Danio rerio: one gene and its partners. The protein of the gene in region 1 interacts with the protein of each later gene in a pairwise test. Links are inferred from orthologs where the notes say so. Each region holds a gene or a part of one and is shown in the gene's direction. Other genes may lie near its edges.

Evidence for each region. The genes of interacting proteins can lie anywhere in the genome.
Region 2: the proteins of efhc1 (region 1) and tex11 interact in binary tests that used the Homo sapiens proteins (3 or more experiments, as listed by UniProt). The two-hybrid records come from large-scale screens. The link is inferred for Danio rerio from reciprocal best matches to the Homo sapiens genes EFHC1 and TEX11.
Region 3: the proteins of efhc1 (region 1) and eif4enif1 interact in binary tests that used the Homo sapiens proteins (3 or more experiments, as listed by UniProt). The two-hybrid records come from large-scale screens. The link is inferred for Danio rerio from reciprocal best matches to the Homo sapiens genes EFHC1 and EIF4ENIF1.
Region 4: the proteins of efhc1 (region 1) and kctd4 interact in binary tests that used the Homo sapiens proteins (3 or more experiments, as listed by UniProt). The two-hybrid records come from large-scale screens. The link is inferred for Danio rerio from reciprocal best matches to the Homo sapiens genes EFHC1 and KCTD4.

The regions. Positions count from the first base shown.
Region 1 is NC_133195.1:51,339,492-51,345,729, reverse strand, and holds part of efhc1 (EF-hand domain-containing protein 1), read left to right. Parts: intron 1-771; coding exon 772-1,059; intron 1,060-1,537; coding exon 1,538-1,690; intron 1,691-3,367; coding exon 3,368-3,560; intron 3,561-4,077; coding exon 4,078-4,298; intron 4,299-6,238. UniProt on the Homo sapiens protein: Microtubule inner protein (MIP) part of the dynein-decorated doublet microtubules (DMTs) in cilia axoneme, which is required for motile cilia beating.
Region 2 is NC_133189.1:37,594,055-37,600,826, forward strand, and holds the start of tex11 (testis-expressed protein 11), read left to right. Parts: upstream 1-2,824; 5' UTR 2,825-2,947; coding exon 2,948-2,975; intron 2,976-3,146; exon of another isoform or gene 3,147-3,208; coding exon 3,209-3,324; exon of another isoform or gene 3,325-3,379; intron 3,380-3,513; coding exon 3,514-3,598; intron 3,599-5,840; coding exon 5,841-5,920; intron 5,921-6,093; coding exon 6,094-6,174; intron 6,175-6,651; coding exon 6,652-6,768; intron 6,769-6,772. UniProt on the Homo sapiens protein: Regulator of crossing-over during meiosis. Involved in initiation and/or maintenance of chromosome synapsis and formation of crossovers.
Region 3 is NC_133181.1:43,476,714-43,483,523, forward strand, and holds the start of eif4enif1 (eukaryotic translation initiation factor 4E transporter), read left to right. Parts: upstream 1-2,862; 5' UTR 2,863-3,153; intron 3,154-5,828; 5' UTR 5,829-5,884; coding exon 5,885-5,965; intron 5,966-6,810. Other genes in the region: protein SFI1 homolog, read right to left, coding at 571-681, 1,304-1,375, 1,458-1,603. UniProt on the Homo sapiens protein: EIF4E-binding protein that regulates translation and stability of mRNAs in processing bodies (P-bodies). Plays a key role in P-bodies to coordinate the storage of translationally inactive mRNAs in the cytoplasm and prevent their degradation.
Region 4 is NC_133184.1:20,477,666-20,483,778, reverse strand, and holds kctd4 (BTB/POZ domain-containing protein KCTD4), read left to right. Parts: upstream 1-2,903; 5' UTR 2,904-3,039; coding exon 3,040-3,816; 3' UTR 3,817-4,465; downstream 4,466-6,113.

The DNA.
Region 1 (6,238 bases):
ATCTATCTATCTATCTATCTATCTATCTATCTATCTATCTATCTATAGTTCTTTCTGCAGTTTTCTCTATCCATCCATCCATCCATCCATCCATCCATCCATCCATCCATCCATCCATCCATCCATCTATCTATCTATCTATCTATCTATCTATCTATCTATCTATCTATCTATCTATCTATCTATCTATCTATCTATCTATCTATCTATCTATCTATCTATCTATCTATCTATCTATTGTTCTATCTATCGTTCTATCTATCGTTCTATCTATCGTTCTTTCTGTAGTTTTCTCCATCCATCCATCCATCCATCCATCCATCCATCCATCCATCCATCCATCCATCCATCCATCCATCCATCCATCCATCCATCCATCCATCCATCTATCTATCTATCTATCTATCTATCTATCTATCTATCTATCTATCTATCTATCTATCTATCTATCGATCTATCGTTCTTTCTGCAGTTTTCTCTATCCATCCATCCATCCATCCATCCATCCATCCATCCATCCATCCATCCATCCATCCATCCATCCATCCATCCATCCATCCATCCATCCATCCATCCATCCATCCATCCATCCATCCATCCATCCATCTATCTATCTATCTATCTATCTATCTATCTATCTATCTATCTATCGATCGTTCTTTCTGTAGTTTTCTCCATCCATCCATCTATTGTTTTATCTAGTCTTGTCTATACTTCTGTCTGTCCGTCTGTCCATCTCTCCATCTCACCTTTCCCCTCTGACCTCTGCAGGTGTTGCGTTTCTATGGTTATTTCCGTCAGGAAGTGCTTCACTCTTGGGATGAGCACTTCCGCATTCGTCCAGTGGTGTTTTACTATCACCTGGAGGATGACAGCATCTGTGTGACCGAGCCGCCGGTGGAAAACTCTGGAATCCCTCAGGGAAAACTGATCAAGCGGCAGAGACTGAGCAAAAACCCACGTGGAGATCTGTACCACTGGAAGGACCTGAACGTGGGGATGGACATCAACTTGTTTGGAGAGGTTTACAGGATCACACACTGCGACCCCTTCACACAGGTACAAAGACAACGAGTCTGCTGGTGTGATATGTCTGATGAGTTTGGTCTGAATAAATATGTGTGTGTGTGTGTGTGTGTGTGTGTGTGTGTGTGTGTGTGTGTGTGTGTGTGTGTGTGTGTGTGTGTGTGTGTGTGTCTACCTTGTGTTTCTCATGTTGTGGGGAGCAAATACCAGTCAATTTTGTTTGGTCCCCATGACAAAAAAAGCTCATAAATTAGACAGAATTAAGTATTTTTAAAATGTAAAAATGCAGATTGTTTCCTGTAATGGTCGGGTTTGGGGGTAGGATTGGGGTAAAGGAATCAAATATACAGTACAGTCTTTATAGTATAAACATCATTATGTCTATGGGAAGTCCCCATAAAGATAGCTGTACAAGATTGTGTGTATACATTTTGTACAGTATAAATACAATGGAAACCAATACAATATCTCCACAATTCACAAAAACAAATATGTATGTTTGTGTGTGTAGGACTTCATGGAGAGTCAGGGAATTGTACTGAATGAATTTGAGTCCATTCCCAGTGACCCGTACACTGCCCGCCGTGCTCACAACCAACAAACCCACATCACACCCTATGACCACAACCATCAGCTGGAGCGATTCCTTGCTCTGGATCGACAGGTAAACGCTTAAAAAAACTGGTTTGTAAAGTATATTTGTATATTTGCTGTTGTTTTTATTGGTTTATTTCTCATGCTTTCAGCTCAATTTTATGTTTTATAATTTCCTCCTGTTAGTAGACTAACTGCAACACATTTTATTGACAAGACTTAATATTTACTAATAAATAAAAACAAAAGCTTTTTTTAATGCTCAGAAGTGTTATATTATATTATTTGATATTATATTATTTTAAATTATATTATATTATTTATTTCATAGTCATTCAGTGGTTCATTCATTTTCTTTTCGGCTTAGTCCCTTTATTGATCTGGAGTCGCCACAGCGGAATGAACCACCAACTTATTCAGCATGTTTTTCCGCAGCGGACGCCCTTCCAGCCACAACCTATCTTTGTGAAACATCCACACACACTCATTCAATTTAGCTTACCCAATTAGCCTGTACCGCATGTGTTTGGACTGTGGGGGAAACCGGAGCACCCGGAGGAAACCCACGCGACCACAGGAAGAACATGCAAACTCCACACAGAGACGCCAACTGACCCAGCCGGGGCTCGAACCAGTGACCTTCTTGCTGTGAGGTGATTGTTCTGGGTGCTCCGGTTTCCCCCACAAGTCCAAAAACGTGTTATAGGTGAATTGGGTAACTTAAGTTGTTGGTAGTGTATGTGTGTGTGAATGAGTGTGTGTGGATGTTTCCCAGTGATGTGTTGCGGCTGAAAGGGCATCCGCTGTGTAAATATATGCTGAATAAATTGGTGGTTCTGCGGCAGCCCCAGATTAATAAAGGGAATAAGCCGAAAAGAAAATAAATGAATAAAAAACACAAAATAACTTCAACTTAAAAATAGAGAATATATTCAAAACAACACAAAAAGTTTTATAAATAATGAAATAATTAACATTTAACAAAACATTGATATAAATATAATATATTTGATATAAAAGCCTACACTAATTTATCCAGTTAGCAAGGGTCGCCAATGACTATAAACATTGGACAAAAATAGTTTAGTCAGGAACAATAAATGAATTAATTAATCAATTAAATAATTAGTTAAATATTGAATTAATGAATTATGAAACTAATTAATGAGTAAATGAATTAATTAATTAATGAGTGAATGAATGAATGACTGAATGAGTGAGTGAGTGAGTGAATGAATGAATAAATGAATTAATGAACAAGTGATAAGAAAGAAAGAAAGAAAGAAAGAATGAATGAATGAATCAGTGAGTGAATGAATGAATGAATGAATGAATTAACAAGTAAAAGAAAGAAAGAAAGAAAGAATGAATGAACTAACAATTGAAAGAAAGAAAGAATGAATGAATGAATGAATGAACTAACAAGTGAAAGAAAGAAAGAAAGAAAGAAAGAAAGAAAGAAAGAAAAAGAATGAATGAATGAATGAATTAAATAATGAGTGAATGAATTAATTAATAAATGAGTGAGTAAATGAATGAATTAATTAATGAGTGAAAGAATGAATGAATGAGTGATTAAATGAATGAAATAATAAGTGAGTGAATGAATGAATTAATAAATGAATGAATGAATGAGCGAGTGAGTGAATGAATGAATGAATATGTAATACTCGCCAGTTTGCTGTAGTTCTGCTCAACAATAAGCTGTACATACTGCTGTGTGTGCTCACTTACATGTATTCTCCAGGTGCTGCGCTTCTTTGCGCTCTGGGACGACTCAGACTCTCTCTATGGGGAGAAACGGCCTGTAACTCTACATTATTATCTGGTTGACGACTCCGTGGAGATCTGTGAACATCACGAGGCAAACAGCGGCCGGGACCCATTTCCAGTGCTGCTCCGCCGACAGAAGATCCCCAAACACATCAAACCAACCTGCGGTGAGACAAACACACACACACACACACACAGGATTACCTTAAACGCACCTGCTGCAGTTCGAAGGTTTTTTAAAAGATATTACTCATTTATTTCTTTTCCTTCAGCTTTGTCACGTGTATATCAGAGGTTGCCACAGCCGAATGAACCACTTACTATTCTACATTTTTAGAACAGCACTCACATTTTTGTTTCACTGAAAAAAAAACACAAAGTAACACTGCAGATTTTAAATACCTAAATTTAACAAAAGCTTTAAATATTCACGATCCCAGACGATGGTTAATGGTCATGACACGCAAGAAAACAAAATACATATCTAAAATTGTATTAGATATTTTATTTGAAATTTCTTTATATGTTGGAATCTAGGTCAAGCAAAAGTTGCAATTACCTTGTCTTATAAGCAGTTTTTACAATATTATTAATTAATATACATTTTGAAACCTTTGAAGACTTTGGTCTAGTTCACATCAATATATTAACGTTATATATAACTGTATGCCTTTCTGCACTCAGAGCCGTTCCCCAGCTGCGTTCTGGAAGTTTCTCCTCATGACGTGAAGGAGTATTTCTGTCCTCAAGACTTCAGGGTCGGCGAGGAGGTTAACCTGATGGGGAGACGATTCCTGCTGTACGACTGTGATGACTTCACACACAAATACTATCAACACCATCATCCCGACATCCCCATCAAACCCTTCACTGTGGACACCAGAACACAGCAGGACATCAAGAGGGTCAGATATGTCACAGCTCTTCTCAATTAAAGGAACAGTTCACCCAAAAATGAAAAATACCCCATAATTTACTGACCTCAGTGTTAATAATTTACCTCCCTTTGTGTTCAACTTAGATTTTGGAACAAGTGGAAGATTAGTAAACGATGACAGGATATTCATTTAATAGGTGAACTGTCCCTTTAAATCTTCCCTTGTACTGTGTAAACTTAAGCCCGGCTCACACTGTGTGACTTTAAATAATCCAAAACAATTGTAGCTTAAATTCTTCTGAATCTGCCAGAAATACACTTTTTTTTCTACTAATTTTTTCTCAGACGAACAATTTGTGGCTGAAATCGTACCGTGTGAGCAGCATCGCTTTACTTGAATTTGATTGGTTCTCTCAATAATTTAGAAGGCATATATATATATATATATATATATATATATATATATATATATATATATATATATATATATATATATATATATACAGTTGAAGTCAGAATTATTAGCCCTCCTGAATTCGTCCCCCTGTTTAACTTTTTCCCCAATTTCTGTTTAATGGAAAGAAGATTATTTCAACACATTTTTAAGCATGATAGTTTTAAAAACTTATTTCTAATAACTGATTTATTATATCTTTGTCATGATGACAGTTAATAATATTTGACTACATGTTTTTCAAGACACTTCTATACAGTTTGAAGTCACATTCAAAGGCTTAACTAGGTTAATTAGGTTAACTAGGCAGGTTAGGGTAAATAGGCAAGTTATTGTATAACGATGGTTTGTTCTGTAGACTATTGGAAAAATATATAGCTTAAAAGAGGCTAATAATTTTGTCCCTAAAATATCTTTTGAAAAATTAAAAACTGCTTTTGTTCTAGCCAAAATAAAACAAATAAAACTTTCTCCAGAAGAAAAAATATTATCAGACACACTGTGAAAATTTCCTTTCTCTGTTAAACATCATTTGGGAAATATTTGAAAAAATAAAAAAAATCTAATTTTTAATAATAATTCTAATTTCACTAATAGTTCTGACTTCAACTGTATATTAATGACAGATCTCTGCACAATAGAGTGCAGCATGCGATGTTAAAATGTTCTTACAATACAACTGGTTATGACTATGAAGTAAACATACTTTTTTTCTCAGTGTTGGGTATCTTACTTAAAAAAGTCATTAATTCCTAATTACATAAATTAAATTGTATTTAACCCTCTGACGCATGGTGTTGCCATATGGCAACATGATATTTAGGTTAATTTCCCTGCCACTGTTTCTCTAAGACCAACATTGATTTTTTATTTTTTTTTTGGAAAGAGAAGACCTTAGCTTAGCCAATGATGTGCTATAATTAAGTCACATGACATGCAGTGTTTTTCTTTGGTGCGATTTCTGACAGTCTGGTGTTTATTGTGAGCAGTTGCTGAATGCAATTGAAAACATCAATAAAAACCAAGGATCAAATTATGTCAGATCCACAAAAAATCTGAGACATCACCTCCAGTAAGTTATGATGATATATTCACAACTCAAATGTTTTTTAATCAAATTAATTTTTGTAAATTGATCAAATGTGTATGTTGCCAAATGGCAACACTGTGCAGTAGTGGAATGTGAAGTATTGCAATTGGTTAGCTAGCTAGCAAGGTCAGCTGTGAATGTTTAAGTAACAATAACAACATGAAAGCTAGTAATATAATGTTGATTAGTTGTATGTTAATGACATTTGCAATATGCACAAAATCTAGTTTTAATGGCAATACTGCTTTTGAATAGATATGAACACAGGGAACAGTGTATTATGTTCTATGGCAAGTGAAACAAGTAAAGGACAGAACTGACTCTTCCTGCAGATGAAAGTGAGGATGAGACGGGTTTTAGTGGCCATGAGAATGATGCAGATTAGGCATTTGATAAGAGCAGTGATGGATACAGTTGAAGTAAG
Region 2 (6,772 bases), on another chromosome or scaffold:
CTTCTTTCACCTTCCAGCACCCCATGGTGTGTGGATGCACCACAGACTGTTTGTCTTTTTGATGCTACAAACGTGGATATGCTCCCCGCAACGTACAGCAATGCATTGTCCATTCATATCCTTTTATCTACACAGTGCTCAGCATATATGAGTGCACCCCTCACAAATCAATCTTTTGAATTAATATTTTTTAAGTGAAGCTATACAATATTATATTTGTGCATACACATTAGATTAGTAAGTAGTGAAGCCAAATCTGGAGTTTATCTAACAAAGTAACCGACAATAACGGCCCAAAAACTAGTACACCACAATTTATATGTTATAGAAAAATATTAAATACATATTTAAAAGAGGAAAAATCAAAAGAAGCATTTTTTTTTCAATTTTAGTTGAAATTGTTTTGAATTTAATTGCATTACCTTTCAATGTCTAAATATGTTTGGTGACTAAAATATTTTTATTGTAAAATAATTTATTGTCCTCTCCTAACATTCCTTCCATCAATATGTGGATAAATCAGATTGCCATTTTCTTACCCTTAGAAAAACTGACTTAGGACTTAAGTCTTATGATTAGATATGATTTCTGGTATATCTGAAACCCTCTATGAGAAGTTTGGAGAATGTATCTTGAAAGACTATTTTTATTATTATTTTGTTCATTTTACCCTTCACAAAAGACTTGAATTACTACCCGATGGACGAAAGTATAATAAATAGTTATATTATTGTATATGATGAAATGAGACACTTATACCACTGTTCTGTCATTGCAAATCTTTAAATAAATGTTTAAAATAAATAAATAACTAATTTAAATGTGGGCGAAGCAGTGGTGCAGTAGATAGTGCTGTTGCCTCACAACAAGAAGGTTGCTGGGTCGCTGGTTCGATTCTCGGCTCAGTTGGCGTTTTTGTGTGGAGTTTGCATGTTCTCCCTGCATTCGCGTGGGTTTACTCCGGGTGCTACGGTTTCCCCCACAATCCAAAGACATGCGGTACAGGTGAATTGGGTTGGCTAAATTGTCCATAGTGTCTGAGTGTGTGTGAATGAGTGTTTGTGGATGTTTCCCAGAGATGGGTTGCATCTGGAAGGGCATCCGCTGCGTAAAAATGTGCTGGATAAGTTGGCGGTTCATTCCGCTGTGGCGAACCTAGATTAATAAAGGGACTAAGCCAACAAGAAAATGAATGAATTAATAATTTAAAGGATTTATTTTTATTAGGTTTTTAAATAAATAGGTCTTACACTTTATATTTTCTGATTTTTCATAGTATATGTATTAATTCTGTTACTTTTACCATATCAACCATTTGGTAGTGGCTGATATTTTAGAAATAATGGGATGTGTTGAAAAAAATGCATTGAATTTGTTAACTAGGAATGCAATCCAAAGTAATTGATCCCTGATTTTTTTTCATTGAAGTATATAATTTTAGATTACAGATGTTCATTGGTATTTAATGTTAACAGATTTAAATGCAGATTTAAATGCTGATAAAAGCCACCATGTAAAGTGTATTATGCAGTAAATTGCAACATTTAGTTTTTGAATTAGAAAGATTAAGAGATAAATTCTTGTAAAATAAAAGCTAGTCATTTTTTACCTTTTTCTTTTTTTCCCAAAGCATTTATAGACAATACATTTCAGGTTATGTCTTCAGGTTTGGCAGCAGATGTTTTACAGAGATATTTCTCGAATACACAATATTCGGCCTAGCATTGACCTTTCATACCCAAGTCTAACTGTGAGATGAAATATTTTTAAACCTGGCACAGATGTATAAATACGCCTGTTTATTATTATTTTAATATTATTTATGTTGCAGACTTTAGGAAATCTTGTGTCCATCTCTCTGACCGCATGTCACAAGGATCATGTTTGTTTTTTTCGTTCTCCTGTGCAATCAAGCCCTCTGAACTGATCACATTTCCCTCAGACCAGTACGGTGGCTAGATAAGACTCAGGCAGAAACAATTGCTGGAAGCCGAGCATGCAGAGGAGTGGGCTTTTAAGACATCTTATTTTTGAATCTAGTGCCGTGAACACAATAAGAGACTTCACAAACCATTCTGTGTACGCAGCTTGAGCTCTTTCCTTCAGCTCAACAATGACCTCCCCTGTTAAAACAAAAAGCTCAGCGTTATCAGCACATACTTTCTTTGGGGTGAATGAGGTTTTAACTAGCAGAAGGTGATGAATATTATGTTTAAACAATGCTATTATACTATGTAATGGGCCAGACCTTTCAACACGGAAATTCTGAATATCAAAAGAGCAGGCCTAGTTCTCCATTTATCTTAAAATATTATTTAGAGCGCTTGTTTCTGAGGCTTTTATATTTCATTTTTATATTCTATTACTATTTATAATAAAAGTGCATTTAATATAGTGGAAATTGTGCGCTATAATGTAACTAAATATTAAATTTAAGTTTATTTGTACAGAGCTTTTTACAGTAATTATTGTTTCAATGCAGCTTTACAAAAGATGCACATTTTTGCATTACAATCACATAATTGCATTACTTTAATTAAGTAAACCTCAGTTACTTAAGTTACAATCAAATAGCAGTTATTATATACAGACACATGCAATTTTATAGCATATGAGTGATGTCCAAATAGCAAAATGATTGTAGTTGTTAATATTAATGAGGCTGGATTATTAATCTTGGCTTCACCACGCCAAATAAATTGTGTGAACCTGAATGAAATATTTTAGGGAGACATGATGAGTAACAGCAAGTTAAAAACCGTGTGTGAGACACCACCTTGCGGTCACTCAGCGGTATTACACTCCGGCTGAAGCGCGTCCTCGTGCGTGTTTTGGCGGGGAGCGGTCGCGAGGGGCAGCGTTGGTTTTTTTCCAGTCACACAGAAACTTCATACAAAATACAACCTTTTAAAATTACTTCAGATTTTTTAGATACACAAAATATAATATGGAGCAGTTTGCTGTCGAAGTAAAAGGTACGTTTGCGGTAAAAGAAAGATATGTGGTACCAGTCAATTCAATGTATAAAAGATACGCTATTGTGTATTTACTATGAGATGAGCTATTGTGTTTTTTTACAAAACAATTATTTATCTTACATATTTTAAGTGATATTAATATAATGACAAATAACAGTTTCAACTTACCTTTTGTAAGTAATTTAACAGGTTATGTGAAGATATTTCGTGGTTTGACGTTCCTTTCACAGACCTGTCAGAGAAACTCCTCCACAGACAGAGCCATTCAGACTTGGATGAAGTGATTGATTCCCTCTTCAAGGAGATTTTAACTCTAGATGAAGCTGCAAAACTACAGGATTCACAGGTGTGGAAAATACACTTCTTTTGAAATCTACGGAAGCCCCCAGGGATCTTGTAGCGTTGTGTTTTGAAGACATGACGTCTTTATTTTGTTCTCGACATAAATATATATTATTTCGTATTTTAAGTTAACATCTTACACAGAAATCAGGTAATTGTGGTTCAATATTTAATAATTTAGTTGTTTTTGTAGCTGGAGGAAATCGCCATCCAGTTGTGGAACTGGGCTGTCACCAAACGTGTTGGCACCTCAATTACAGAAGAGCAGAAGGCCAAAGGTCTGTCCTTGTATTAGTCTTTTGTTTTATTAACTTTAATATAAATTAGATTTTTTTTTAAATAATAATACATGTATTAATTAGGCCTAATAATTATAATTAATAATGATTTTACTTGCCTGTATTAAGTATCTATTTAATACTGTTGGGGGTTTCAATCTGTAGTCTGGGAAATGTAGAAATGTTTAATAAATTAAAATAATTGGTCAATGTAGTTAATACAATTTTAAACATGTTTAAATTAGCCTTTTATGGACGCACAAATGAACATACTAGCAGGAGCGGACTTAATCAATAATCAAAGTTAGCAGCCGCCTAGGGCCCCAGGGAATTATGGGTCCCTGACCAATGCCAAGAAGCCTATATTAATCATATATCTCGTTTATACATTTTTTAAATCATATGTTGTAAAATCTGTGTATAGAGTCTGTTCAAATAAAATAACATTGCTCAGTGAAAATGAACGGCTGCCGATTCACAAACAGCAATTATTCAGTTAACTTAAATGATCGTGAATTAAATTTGTTAAAACTTTTTTATTTACTTATATCAAAATCTTTTCACCAAAATGGCTCATTTAGTTTAAATAGTTGCAAATTACTTGTTTTTTTTTTTTATTTGTGAATGTATTACATTTAATTTTAAATAAAAAAGAAAAAGCTTCCAGTAAATATAAAAATATAGAAAATATACTTTTTTATATACTTTTTATATATATTTATTTATTTAAATACTTTAACATGCTGTTTATTTACAATAATAATAATCTACAGAGAAAAAAAATGTATAAGAGAATGTTTTGAGTTTCAGTGCTAGGGCCCCATACCCAGAATTGCTTAGGGCCCCTGAATCACTAAATCCAGTATATATTTTAATTTAATGCCATGTCACCAATTAAAGCTATTGTCATGGCAAGAACATTTCAGTTACAAGTATCCAATCAAATATGAACAAAAATTTGTACATAAATTAAATAAGATGTTTAGTGTTTAACCAAGTCTAGTTTTAAAATGTCTTAAAACTTTGCGTGAGATTTTAGGTTGTATTTCATACAATTTGTTATTTTCCAATGCATCCCACTCCTCTTGCCACTTATTTAAAATGTAAACATTGATAAAATGTCTCATCTCTGGCATTTGTTCACCACTTGTTTCAAAGCATCCTTAGCAGCCACATCAGCTCACTCATTTCCTGAAAGTACAAGATGTCCTGGAACCCAATAAAAAATGGTATGACAAAACTGGTTTTGTAGATGGTGAACTTTAGTTAAACATTATCAATGAAAGGATGATCATTTTTTGAAGATTCCGTCACTTGGAGGCATGATTTGGAGTCTGAAAAATTATTCTTTTGTTGGACATTTTCTATATATTCCAAGTAAAAGTAAAGCACAGGCTTCAGCTATGAATATTGAGCATTCTTTTGGCAGACTAATTTCATAACGATGTTCAGCCACCATTACTGCAGCTACGCTCCTTTCCACTTTTGAACAGTCTGTAAAAATTGGTAAGTGTAGAGCAGGTGTGACCAACCCTGTTCCTGAAGTTCGACCTCCCTGCAGATTTCAGTTGCAACCCATATGAAATACACCTGCCTGTAATTATCAAGTGCTGTTCAGGTCCTAATTAATTGGTTCAAGTGTGTTTGATCAGGGTTGGAGCTGAACTTTGCAGGAAGGTCGATATCCAGGAACAGGGTTGAGCACCACTGGTGTCGAGAATATTGGCTTCTACTAGTATAAAGAAGACAAACAATTGTAAAAAAAAAAAAAAAACATAATTTAACGATAGTACAATAATTTTAGTATAAACATTATTAAATTTAATCAATTAATTATGCAAAATGTCAATTAATAGATGCAGATTTTGTTAATATGTTGTTAAAAATAAATAATTATATAAATGTGTATATAGTTAATATATTATAAAATGTGCTAATGCAATAGAGCTATATAATTAATAATATTTTGGACATTTATAGCAACATTTTACAGTACAATTTGTGACTTTTACACAAGAAACCTTAGATGCATTTAGCATTTTAGGATAGGTTCATGGCATCTAAACAGTTGTAAACCCCTGTATTACAGTTTTTGGGTGCCAATCAATCTTTGTTTTCTATCACTGACAGAGATATAGTTAATATCCTTGAATACAAACAAATAAAAATGTTAAAGTGTATCCCAGATGTTTACATAGATGTCAATTATTTAATTATTTAATACTCTACAAATTTGTTTTAGTGCGTCATGTGGCATGCAGACTTCTGTATTCATGCGGGCCTGAGAACCCATCAGAGAGTATCGTGCGCAAGCAAATACTGGTTAGTGAAAAATTATTTCCAGCAGTCTTGTTTATTAGCTTGTACTAATTTGACATTCACACAGAAGTCAGTAATAAAGTGGTTCATGCATATGCACAGTACATTTGTTTATTTCCATCCCTTGTGCATGCTCCTTGCATATTTGACTGAAATCTTACTTGTTTGTTTCTCAGATGGCCAGTAAAACTGGGAGAACATGGCTCGATTGTAAAAACTCCAAGTCTGCGGATGCTTTTTTGAGCATGGCTGTCAATGTATGTATGAATTCATTGAAAAAAACAGACAATATTGGCGGAACAAGAAAAAATTGCATATAATAAATAAATATATAATGCTATTGTGTGGTGGAATATTGATAAGTACCCATAATTATTTTTCACATTTTGGTAGTGTACTTACTGTAGGGTGTTTTGGGTTGACTTTTCCAATACTATTTAAAACTTGGTTACTCTCTGAACCCAGCCCGTCTCGTTGTAAATTTATTATTTATTTAATGCTTTTTCTGGATAAATTTTACATCCATAAATGAAAAAAAATAAATTCTAAGTAACTCCTTTTTTATTTTCAGAAACGATTTTGATAATATGTGAACTAGGGCTGCAGGATGCTATTAAAATTTTCTACAGTTCTGCAGTCTTTGTAAATATTTTTTTCTTGCATCGAAATAAATAAGACACAATAATATTGACGTAATACATGAATAAGAAACCACAAATATGCTACTTTTACAGAGCCTGGAGACTCTTTACAGCAGACTAACATCCCATGGAGATGGAGAAGATATGAACACACCAAAGGGCGACATAGAGAAAGACCTGTTGCGGATTTTGTCTTATCAGGCAGAATCTGTTA
Region 3 (6,810 bases), on another chromosome or scaffold:
AACTTTTTTCCACTTTGGACGTAAAATACATTTCATTTTGAGAAACGTTTATAATATTTTGGGGCAGTAAACACGTTAGGGTTAATAACTTAACAACTAATAAATAAATCGTTGACTTTTGCTGGCTTAATTCATTTCAAACACACAGATTTCTTTACATATTAAAACAGCCTTTTTGGATATCTTTTCTGCTGAAGAAACTGTTGTACAAAAAAAACAAACAAACAAAAAAAATCTTACAAACACTGTAGGAATGGTATAACAAAACAATTTGGTAGTTTTGAAACCTTGACTTTTCTAAACCACAATATACCTTGAAAATGGTTATCATCCTTTGTCTATTTATGGTTTACACAAAACATCAAGCAGCTGTTTCTGAACACCGAAACAGCTTATTGACTGACTTCTGAAGTCATGCTAAAGACTGAAGAAATGGTTGCTAAATTTTCAGGTTTGGCATAACAGGATAAAAACAATAATATGTTTGAGCTACATTTTAAACTGTAATAATATTTTACAATATTACTGATTTTCTCATCAACCTTTGTGGCAGTAGCAAACTCAACTTACGCATAATGGCAGTCGGCCCTTATATTGAGAGTCCATTCCTTTCTTGAATGCCACCATTCATCTTTCCAAGACCTGAAGACCTTCTTCAGGATGACCTTACAATAATGAGATCTGAAAGAAAGTACAAATTTAATACAGGGTTTCTGCAGGTTTAACCAAGTCAAATTTAGGACCATCTAGAATGAAACTTTAGACTTATATAAGGCTAAATGCTAAGGCTGTTTTATAATGGCCCAGCAATAAAAAAATACTTGTCCTATCAGAAAAACTAATTCTAATTAGTTATTTCTTAGCAACATATTTTAATTATAAAAAAATACTTAAAATGATTACTTATCATTTTAAAAGGTCTGCTTGTCTCAAAACAAGCAGACCTTTATTTTTTTCAACATAACATAAATTAAAACTTTGCTAAACTAAATGTATGTGCAACATAATATTAGCTAGAAATAGAGTTTTGTTAAAAGTTTTATTTATATCTATTGTGTCCATTGTGCATAAACAAAGGACAATTAAGACCCATTTAAAATAACCCTGACCAGTCAGACAATATTTCAATGAATTTAAAACTTTAGGCCTAAAATTTAGTTTCTGTAATTTAAGACATTTTAAGACTCCACTGACAGCCTGTGATAAAATGAATAAAGAGACTCATAAATCACATTAGTAACGTTACTTTACCACTGCAGTAGTGCTTTTTGTACTTATAAAGTATTAATTAAACTCGTCAGACCTGGCTTGTGATGTTGTTTTTCGTCCAAATGTCCTCCTAATCCACAAGAAAAGGAACTTTCGAGCAAGGTGCCTAAAACAATAAAAACAAATGTCAGTTCTTGTCACATTACATCTTAGTTTGCAAATTAAAGATAAAACTCGTGATTTCCCACCGTATCCTCAGCTCTTTAAGTCTACCACCTCGGTTCCAAGTATATCCGACCCGGTAAGTGTTTTTGCGTGTTACTGTCTTCCGTGCCCGGTTCTTTTCAACAGCACACGACAGCTGTTTCCCAGCGTGTGGTCTTGTCGTTTGCATTTTAAACGCTGTAACGTTACTTTAGACACATAACCTTTAGTCCATCGCCGCGCAATCTTCCTGCAGGTAACGTAACCTGAACTATAATTAAAGTAAAGATAAAGTCATTTAAGTTTTCACTTAACGGCTAAGACATGTTGTAGCTCGGTAAATAGGTGTCATCATTCTGACAACTAGTATCAACAACAAAACATAACTGCCGCTCTTCTGAGTTAAAAGAACATTCTTCCGGTAAACAATGTCAAAATAAAAGTTTTTTCAAAGGCCTCATTAAAAATAACAGTTTAAAAATGTAGGTTAAATTATTAAACGTATGTTTAAAAATTCTGTTGTATGATGTAAAAATACAATTTTACTTTTTAAAATGTAATAATTTTATTTCAAAATAATGTGTTATTAATATTAATAGCATTACTATTATTCCTATTATCGATGCAGACTTTATAAAGAGCAATTGATATTTTACTTATGCCTTTGAACATGTATAAAACGTCATGCCTTTGAACATGTATAAAACGCTTTTAACTAAATATAATCTCTTCATAAAAAGCTCTTAGTTTTGCTCAAAATCCTGTAAACCAACCAACAAAAACAAACTCAACCTGAATAAAAAAAACTTAACTGAGCGTGTTAGATCCTGTCACGTGACTACAATTTATAAAGGGTGGCCGCGTTGAATGCCTGAAACATATTCGTGTTCAAAATTCTTTAACGCCTCTTGTAAACAGCGTTGTATAAAATACACACTTCTAACCTCATAATTTCACATTCTGTATTGTAACATTTGAAATCTTCATCAAAAATAAGACCTAGTTTCGTAAAACTTTAGAGAAGGCGTGATTAGAAGCTATATAATCCTTGATTGGGGCCTTTCTCAGAACCAGTCAGAGATCTGAAGAAATTCGCCGCTCTGCGACTGAACAGAGACGAAAGAGAGAGCTCTGAGAAAGTACCCCGAGGTACATTGATGGTAGAAGCCGGAATACAAGCTTTAATTAAGTCGTCGAACCAAAATTTCCGCCCGATTTATTCCTAATATACGTGAGCTTTAATTTACTAGCGCGCTTTAGACCTGCGCTGTTCAGATTTATGAGTGTGGATAAGTTTCCTAGCCCGCTAACCTGGCTCACTAGCCTATAAATAAACAAACAAACACGGCGTTTTTCCATGTTTATCGCTCCCACGAAAAAACCCAAAGGAGAAATAAACCAAAGGTACAATTAAAGTCTGGACAAATAGTCGTTCGTCTGTAAGAACCTAAATAAATCCTCGGCGTCGGCTTGATAAGTGTAGCCAGTTTGCTAATGAGATGCTCCTCTCTGTCAATTAACGATTCCACCTGGAGTGACAAGCGATATCTGAACCCCCTTCAACACCGTCGATAGAGAAACTTTATTTTTATGCAGGAAACTTCATCCGCGTCCTTTCTGAATTCTGGACTGACTCCGGCATTTCTTGTAGTTTGGTATAAGACAGGTAGCCAGAAGCTAGCTAACTGAGGTAACCCGGCGGGGACAGAGAAGGTGCTGTGACACCGTTTCAAATATCAGGTGAGTTGATAAATGTGCTGACCAACACTTATTTTTTAGAATATTTTAGTTATTCATAGATTGAAAGTTTAGATTCGTGCTTTAGCATCTGGCTGGTTAGGCTTTTTGCAGTTTGTTTGCAGTCTGCCTCGTCATTTGCTAATACAGCAGCTTCTCATATTACACACGAGCCAGACATTTACATCATATTAAATCGCTACACCTTATATCCGTCTTAATGGATTCAAGTTCAATTTTATTTGAAGTCTTCGCTGACTGAGGAGTTTTTATACTTGCTAAGATGCTTGTTTGTATAATCACGCTCAGTTACTCACTGGTTTTAATCTAGATAACTTGGTTGTTATAAAGAGGATAGTTCAGTCAGAAATGTTAATTTGCTTTTAATGTCATTAAAATGTAGGAGATTTATTTGTTGTTGAACTGTTTTTTTCTTATTGTAAGTTTTATTTTTTATTTTTTAAATTGTAATGTACCTGTATCTAGAGCTGTGCGATTTTGAGGAAAATATCCAATTGCAATTGTTTTGATATATTGTGATTTAATTTGAGATTTTAATTTTGTAGTCAAGCTTAAGCTCAATCTGCATCAAAGCTCCTTACTGCTAAAATGCAGTGTGTTAGATAAAGAACTCGATAGTTATTAACTTACTCCAACATTTATTCAAATTAGTTTTTAAATATTCAGTAATTAAACTCATTTTTTTCTAGAGTAGGGGTGCCTAAACATTATTCTTATGAACGGCCAAAAATCAAAGTTGATTGAGGCGAATGGGTCGAAGGCAAATATAGGTGGGGTAATTTCATCAATTTTCTTTTTGACTTATTCCCTTTATTAATTTGGAGTCGCCACAGTGTAATGAACCGCCAACTTATCCAGCGTATGTTTACCCAATTCACCTGTACCATAAGTCTTTGGACATGTTGGGGAAACCGGAGCACCCAGATGAAACCCATGCAAACACAGGGAGAACATGCAAACTCCACACAGAAATGCCAACTGACCCAGCCGGGGCTCAAACCAGTGACCTTGCTGTGTGGGTAGACGATTGTGCTACCCACTGTGCTGCCCATAGGGTTATTTACCACGGGTAATTTTCTATTTCATTTAATAATGCTTAAAACTGACTAGAAAACATTGCTTTCAATTAACTAATACAGCATTTAAAAAAAAAAATTTATTACAGTAAAAACAAAACAATGTATAACAAATTTACACTAGTTTATGCCTAGATTTTCCTGCCTATGTCTTCTACATAGTCCTTTATCCGTTGAGTGACAGTATTTACATTTATTTTTTTCATTCTGATTAATTTGCATTTAATTGAAACATTTCATTTCTGTTTGCTTTTTTTTTTGCTCAGCAATATAACAAACCAAAAAAAAGGTTACATCAAATAAAAAATGACGCTCTCTAAAACCGTAAGACGTTCACACCAACCCTCTTCAACATACTTGCTCTCCTCTCAGATGGGATGATAGGCCAAATCAAAGGTTACAATGGGCCAACTTTGGCCCGCGGGGCCAACTTTGGTCAACTCTGCTCTAGAGCAAACAGTAAGCACAAATAAAATTACCTTACCTTTTTGTAAACAAGTTCAACTCAGATTAGGGAAATAATGTATCTTAAACAAATGTTTAAAAAAATATAAAATTTTATAATTCTAAAAATACAGAACACTCAGCATACTAACACGACAGATATAAGACGGATTGAAAGGTTCTGATTGGGCAGAATGAAAGCATGCTCTCTCGATTGGCTAGTAAGACTTTCATACACAGATGGCAGTCACACATTTTCTCTGGGTGGGGGAAATTAAATGAATGCATATATTCCCTATCACTGCCTCTTGCGATTTAGCTAATTGTAACTTTTCAAATTGCGATTCAATTTTGATTAATTGCACAGGCCTACCTGGAACTGTTGTCCCTGGTGATAAATAAAATGCATGTTAGCAGCTTATGATAATTTGAGAGGTAAAAAAAAAAAAACATGATATCAGAACCAGAATAATGATCAACTTGTATAGATTACAAATACAAATTCTTTAAGCTTTATATAACTTAACCATTGCATAAGCACAATTACCCTTCAAGTATGAGTATAACTCCTTACCTAAGATAATAAATTAAGGATTTTGCATACATGCAGCGTTCAGAAGCAACTTTACAAAGAAAAAAAAAAACAAGTCTTGAATTGTAATTATCGGCCGATTCGGATCTCCAACCAATTGATTGGAGCATCCCTAATAGAAATATCACTAAATACTAAAAATATATTTTAATGTTCTACTGGTGAAAAAGTCCCCTTCATATTGAATGGCCTAAGGATGAATAAATAAACCGTATATTGTTTTTTTGGAGTGAATGGGGTATATGCACATAGACTTTACATTTATGTCAGCCTCTCTTTTTATGGTTTTATAACCAAATGGATGCATTTCAAATATAATCAGGTAAATAGATTAAAGCATTACAACATCGCTGCTGTAAAAAGAACCTCATGAAATTGAAAATAGTCACAAATTTTTCACCGGAAGTACATCATTGGCTGGAAAACACTAGCTGTGCATATAACCCATTATACCTTTAAAAGATGTTGTAGTTGTTTAAGATCTTTCCAAATAATGTTGCAGTACATTGATGCAGCAGTTAAACTAACACTACAGTATCTGACAGGTGCCTAGAGCGTCTGGTATTTGGGCTTCTCTTCAGTTTGACCAGCCACCACAGTCATGGAGAAGGACGAAAATGGTGAAAACTTGGTGGACCCAATTAAGGACTCCGTAATGACCTCTGCCTATAGGTATACCAAGGTGAGAACAGTCCTTTAAAGCAACAATCACATGAGGAGCAAATTTGCCCTCGTGTTTTGATGATCTAGTTCAACTTACTTTGATCAGCATTAACTTTCGTAACATTTTACAGTTTAAAATCTACTACGCAATTAAGGATGATGTAATCATGCATGGCTTTGAATTTGGCTTCAATTAAACCAAATTAGAAACCTATTTTCTTTAATGTCTTGTACATGCAAGTGAAAAAGGTGTGATACTGATAAATGCACTGTGGTGACTTGCTTTTCTGCAATCGTTATGTATTAGCTGTTGACAATACAAGTTTTCAAAAGCAAGATTAACCAGCCTAATTTTTTTGAGCCCTACATGCATCCTACAAAACTGTCAGTTTCATTGGCATTATGACTCTGTTACAAGGTTAAAAAAAAAAAATTTATTACAAGAGTACACTGTCATTACTTCAGACATCCTTGTCAATTCAAATGCAACCAGCACAATAAAGCCTGATTTATACTTCTGCGTCAAACACCGGCGTATGCTACGGCGCTGACGCATAGCCCTTCGCCGTGGCCATCGCCGTCACTGACGTGCACCTCTCAAAAAATGTAACTACACGTCGCAACGACGCGTAGCATAAGCTCTGTGATTGGTCGGCTTGGTAGCGCTGACGAGTCTGGGCGGGACCGAGAGGCGCGCGAATGGCGGGACGCCGCGCGAGCGATTGTTTACAAGTGTGGAGTCCCGTGAAGGAGCTCCGGATGGAAAGTTTTGTTTTGTGTTTACCTCATAGTTAAAGTTGTTGCACGTCCGCCGGTTCCTGCCTCAAAATGAGCGAGTTTGAGCCACTTGTACATCCCGGAAGT
Region 4 (6,113 bases), on another chromosome or scaffold:
TGATATATGCAATGTTGCCGCTGTATTTGAATTATGGAAATAAAAGCTATTTAAAAATAGTTGCACTTTATTCACATCATTAAGTTGTGCTATTGATTTAAACACAAATGTGTCATGTTTTTTGGGGCATTTAGTAAATGAACATACAGTATTGTAAATATTTGTAAAGCACACAAATTACTATATTTATCTAAAATATTAATAATAAGATATACCAAACTTTGCTGAAGTGATTAAATATTGGTCATACTAACAATCATGATTTAACTAAAAAAAGAAAAAAAGAGTTTGTACCACGTTGTCATGATTTTAACAAACTGTCAAATCAAAGCCATCAATGAATAAATTGTGGGAACAAATGTTCAATTTACAATCATATACCCCTTTTATTTTACTTTAGTTTTAACTATCCTTCAAAATACCACTCTTTTTTCCTATTTTGTACTGTAATGATGATTTCAGTATCCAAACATCCTTTTGCCCAGTGTGGTTTGATAAATATGCATATTTGATTATTAATCTAGCCACCAAAAACAACATATGCTACACTTTGTTCATGTGCTTCTCAAGACGTCATGTTCTTCTGCACAAATTAACTAGAATATCTCTTATCCAAGTGCTCTTGCTTGTACCAATCAGCCACCAATGAATTGAAATCAATTTGGTCCTCTTCAAATTGAAACAAACAAGTGCACTAATTAAAACAAAAAGATAGATGAGAAAAAGCAGGTCAGCCACCCACTATTTCTCTGGCATAGTTAAACCCGGTTTGCAATTCAAATGCAGATGAATAAACCCAGTAATCACATGATGATTAAACCATGACCAAGCCATCGTCTATAACAACTATAATCAGTCATATATGACCATAATGAACTGTCACTGCATCTGTAATCAGATGGCTATGTGCATGGGTGGCATAGTTTAAAAAAGCGAAGCAAAATGTGTGCCAGTGATGCCAGGGCTTACATGGATGTGCTATTTGTGACATCATAACATGGCTAAAACTAAATATGAATGATGCTCCATTTTTTAAGGTGAGACATTAGAGAAAGACATTGTTGTTTTATGGCTTCTTTCAGAATTGTTGGTAAAAGCATCCAAAATATAGTTATAAATGTACATTTTATCACATTATGTTTGATCCTAAAAGTGTTAATGGCAATGCATATCTATTTTTGAAGATTTTTATAAAGATATCTTGTAAAAACATGGTGCTTTTTGGCAGTAGTTTGGCTGTTGACAGTATTTTCTGATTTATGGAGCTAACAAAAGTAAAACCTTTCAATGTCAACAACATTTAAACATGTCAAAAGCATTCAACAATATTTAAACTTGACTTCATCAAATATTCATGTTTCTGTTCTGGAACTATATGTAAATTAGTGCATATTTAATCAGACAACACTTTATGTATACATATTCAAACACCTTTTGCAAAAACTATGTTTAAAACTCTTAATACAGTAAATGCAATTAATGTGGTAAGTATGGTGATATTTGTTCAACTTAAAATAATCAATATACCTGGATTAAAGGTTGTGAGAGCTTAAATAAACAACATATCTTTTTTACACTTTAGACTCCATTGTGGACCTTGATCTCTGCTCTAACGACTTTTAGTGTTGCAATATATTGTAAAAAACAAGGTAATGAAGTAATTTGCTTCGGTAATTTAACAGTTTTCTTTCTTAAAACATTGTTAGCTGTAACAATTTGACCAAAACAATTGGCATAGCAGGTAAAAGTGATTTAATAAACCAAAATGCCAGCTTTTCAATGGAGGTTCATCAAAAAAAAGGTGGCGAATTTTGTGTAAAATGTAAATGATGTTACATTTTGAAATACATGACAAGCCTTTGTTAAAATCCAATTTAAGATATCTAATAAATATGTAAAGCTCAAACTGACACCAGCACTCGGATAATGATTTAGCCTCCACCCTGTCTCAGATGCTAATGACGTACATGGCACAAATTTCGTCTCAGAAAAGTCCATCTTCCTATCCTTGGGCTACAATAGCGGTGTCGTCATTCTGTAATGATTGACAGGCTGTCATTAGTCGGGGACATCAAAAAAAAAAAAAAAGTCACACTGATGCTGCTGCAGTTTAAGGGCATGTCTTCTCTCAGACAGACGAGAGCTTGGGATCTTTGCTACTGAAAACTCATGTTAAGACGGGATTATATATAAGGATATTGATTTTGGGTTCTCATCCCTGGGTGGTTTATACATTGACACAGCCCTGCACTCCTTTGTTAGATGTACAACACCCTTAAAGACAGCTTGGGGCCAATTACGGGTTCAGCCCCCATGGCTTCCAGTCAAGACACAGGCTTTCTTATCAAAGGCTCCACCGATAACTGGGTCATGGCGATTACCTTAAAGCAAAAACCCAGCCTCTGAAAGAAAGAGAGAAACCTTCAATGCATTCATCTCTTTTGATATGAAGACAAACAAATCATTTACATAACTACACCTACACTGTACTGGATACGTCTCTCGTTTGACGATAAAGCTGCCAGTTGTCGGCACATCACACAGCAACGACTTAACACGATAGACGTGAAAGCATTAACATCTCGCTCCTCTCGCACTTTCATTGGAGGCAGTTCATTATGTGGGATCCCTGTGATTTGGCCCTCTCGGTGAGTTCACGTGCCGCCACCCAACCGAGGACTCCTTTCATCACAGGGCAGCGACGCTAATTGCCGAGCCAGAGCCAGAGAGGAGCTGAAGTGGAAAGGTGATTAAATTCAGCCTTTAGTGCGGAGGGCAGTGAGCAAAGCTCTCGCTCTTTCCGAGCCCACAGCACTGACGCAGTAGAGCCCACCCTTAACACCCCTCCTCCCACCGCGCGAGTGTATGCGCACACACATATATGTGTTTGCGTGGCTGTGAAAGGCTCAGACAGCGTTGGCAGCGCACACTGCTCCTGCGCTCCATGCCAGCGCCGCTCAGCTGCGCTCCTATTTGTCCAGGCGTCCGCTCACGCGCACGCTCCCCACACACTCCACCAGGCTGGGTGTGAGGAACGGAATGGAATGGAACCTCAGAAGGATGGAGAGCGAACTGAGACAGATCAATCCGGACCTGCTGCAGCCCAGCAAGAGCTTTAAGAAACCCTCCTCTGGCACCATCACCATCAACGTGGGGGGGTACCTGTACGCAGCCCAGAGGCACACCCTTGCCAAACACCCCGGCTCCCTGCTGGAAGAAATGGTGACTGGGAAAAAGCCAGTGCTGCACGTGGACTCCATGGGCAACACTTTCATTGACCGGGACGGCCCTATCTTCCGTCACATATTAAACTTCTTGCGCTTGGGCGAGTTAGTGCTGCCCGAAGACTTCAAGGAAACCGAACTTCTCCGCAGAGAAGCCAACTTCTACCGCTTGAGCGAACTAGCCCAAGCCCTGCAGGACTGGGAGCAGCAGCAGGCCACACAGCGCGAACCTGCCTTCCTGGAGGTGACGGACAGCCACGAGCGCTCACAGGGTCTGAGAGTCTACTGCAGCGACAACACCTTCATCGAGAAGGTCAAGAACCGGCTGGTACAGATCTCGAAGAGTCGCCTGGACGGCTTTCCAGAGGAGTTCGAAGTGTCATCCAACATCATCCAGTTTCGACATTTCATCAAGTCGGAGCAGGGCTCTCGGCTTGTGCTGAAGCAGGACAGCACGTTTTTGTGTACACTAGAGTGTCTGAAGCTGGAGACGGTGATGCTGGCTCTCAAGGGAGGCTTTCGTCTGATCACCAGCCTGGACAGCAGTCGAGGATCAGTGGTCCAGTGCGAGGCTCTGCATTTTGTCAAGTGACCCCACTAGAGGAACTGTCACCACTAAACACATGACCCGCTGAAAACCATCTCGCGTCAACCAACACCAGCGTCCTCTACCGAAAACCTGTTCTGGATTACTCTGCTAACCTGCTTCTACGTGACACACTCCAACGGACCAAGAGAGAAAGGAGAGAGACTGTACTGTACTGTGGGGCTTTGTTTGGTTTGTGTATGTAGTCGTCATCTGTTTACAATTGTCTTTACAGGAAGATCCACGGTTTGTACTTGATATGATTGCAGAGAACTGTGAAATCTAAAGGCTGAGTGTGATGGTCTTTACATTTGTGAGCAAGTTTTGTGATTTCTGGTAATGTGAACACATGTAGTGATCAACAGGTTGTAATCTTTTGAGTCTGTGAATGTTCTCGCACAATAAAGCTGCATTGTAAGTTATTCGAAACACTGTTGACGATCTACACTGTCTGTGAACTGTGGAGTGTATGCTGAGAAATGACAGTGGGCTGTATAAATAGAGCTACATTTATTTATTTATTAAATTTTTTTATTATGTGCAGTGAGGTCTGCTTGTAAGAGCGATACTGTGTCCTAAATTGAATGTTTGCAATATTATGCAGCAAAATGTGACCTAAAAATTAAATTTCCTCCAGCATTGATCCAAATTTAAATGGGTTTGATCGTGTTTTTTTTTAGAGCACATGGCATACATACATCCAACGCAGATATTTTAGCATGCATGTGCGTGCTGATTCATAAACAATCTGATTCACTTCAGAAGAAGACAAGCTCCAAAACCTGTCAATCAAAGAAAATTGATGAAAAGTCCTACAAGTTGCTGTTAGTCAGAGCCAAGAACTCCGTGGGAAAAAATATCAGTTCAAAATAGATCCATCACCCTGTGAATTCTGCAAGCAAACAAAACATTCAGTGCGCTGACTAATTCTGAAAAACAGCTCTTCTTGACAAGCAGCTAAATTCAGTTACAGTCTAAATCGGCTGTTTCATAGAAAGGCAAAGGCAGACATATGGTTAGACTCACTTTGGATTAGCCGACATCTCCACACACTAGTATCCATCTGTTTCCATCAAATCTGTCATGCAATCTCCCACTAAAATGATTCATTTCTGACATGGGGAGGAATAAAGAAGCACCTTCAATCTCTTGTCGTGTGGACATCAAAACAGAGTCCTTTTTAATTGCAGATATCAGTCATTCATATTTGATGAGACACGGCAGGGCTTATTAGCCGCCGTCACTGGCTGATACGTTTCTAAACCGCTGCCAGCAGGAGACTGGAAACCTGCGGGGGGGTGCTGGTAAGCAGAAGCATTTATTTCAAATGGTAGAAAGCCATTAACAGCTAAAATATTCATGGATAAGTCTCACGTCCAATTGTTGCCAGGCAAACGAGACTCCTACATAACAAAAAAGAAGCCAAAGATTCTCTCATCATGTGCTCCCAAGGAGGCATGACTAATGGCTGCCTCTCAATTTGATCGAAATTAATGGTCAGGCGAACATGTGACTTCGAGGACTCATATGCCCTTAAGAGACCAATTTCTCTGAGAATGTAGCGAGAGTGAAGAATCCGGTCTCTGCTAATGTACTTTTCAGAGTGCGAACTTGAATAGAGGCAAACCGCCTTGCTAGAACAACGTGAAATGGGCAATAGTCAAGGCCATCTGTAAGAGAAAAGCACGAATGGAACAAATCAAAGCAAGTTTTTTGAAAATTAAAAGACCACTTTGCTAAATATTACAATGGTTCCATACAAAATATCCCACGTTTTCAGACCTTCAATAATGGGGGGCAAGGGAGATAAAAAAAATAAATAACAGGAACACTTAAACAATGCAATCCAACTCCAAGTGTTCCCTTTATTTTTTTGGCAGTATATTAAGAGACCATATAATTCAAAATTCTTTGAATTTACTTGATCATTAGATCTATATTATGCAGTTCAGTAAATCATTTTATGGTTAAATTATTTTATAACTATAATTTTTTAAGTAATTTGCAGATAACATTTAATAGTAATTATTAAAATAACATTTCCTTAAAATTTAAATTAAAAAATATTGTCTTTTGGAGCATTTTGCCCAGAAGAAGTTACAAATGTTTTCAATTGTTGTAAATGAAAATCAGTGTTTCTGAAGTTTAAACAGGTGTTTTGCTTTGTCTAAAAAGGAGTATAAGATGTCAATTAACATGACATGTTTGTTTAAAATTTCATAATAAAAAAAAACTCTTAAATGACAACATATTCATTATCATTACTTCACAGGAAACAAATAATTTTCTCAAACACAACACAT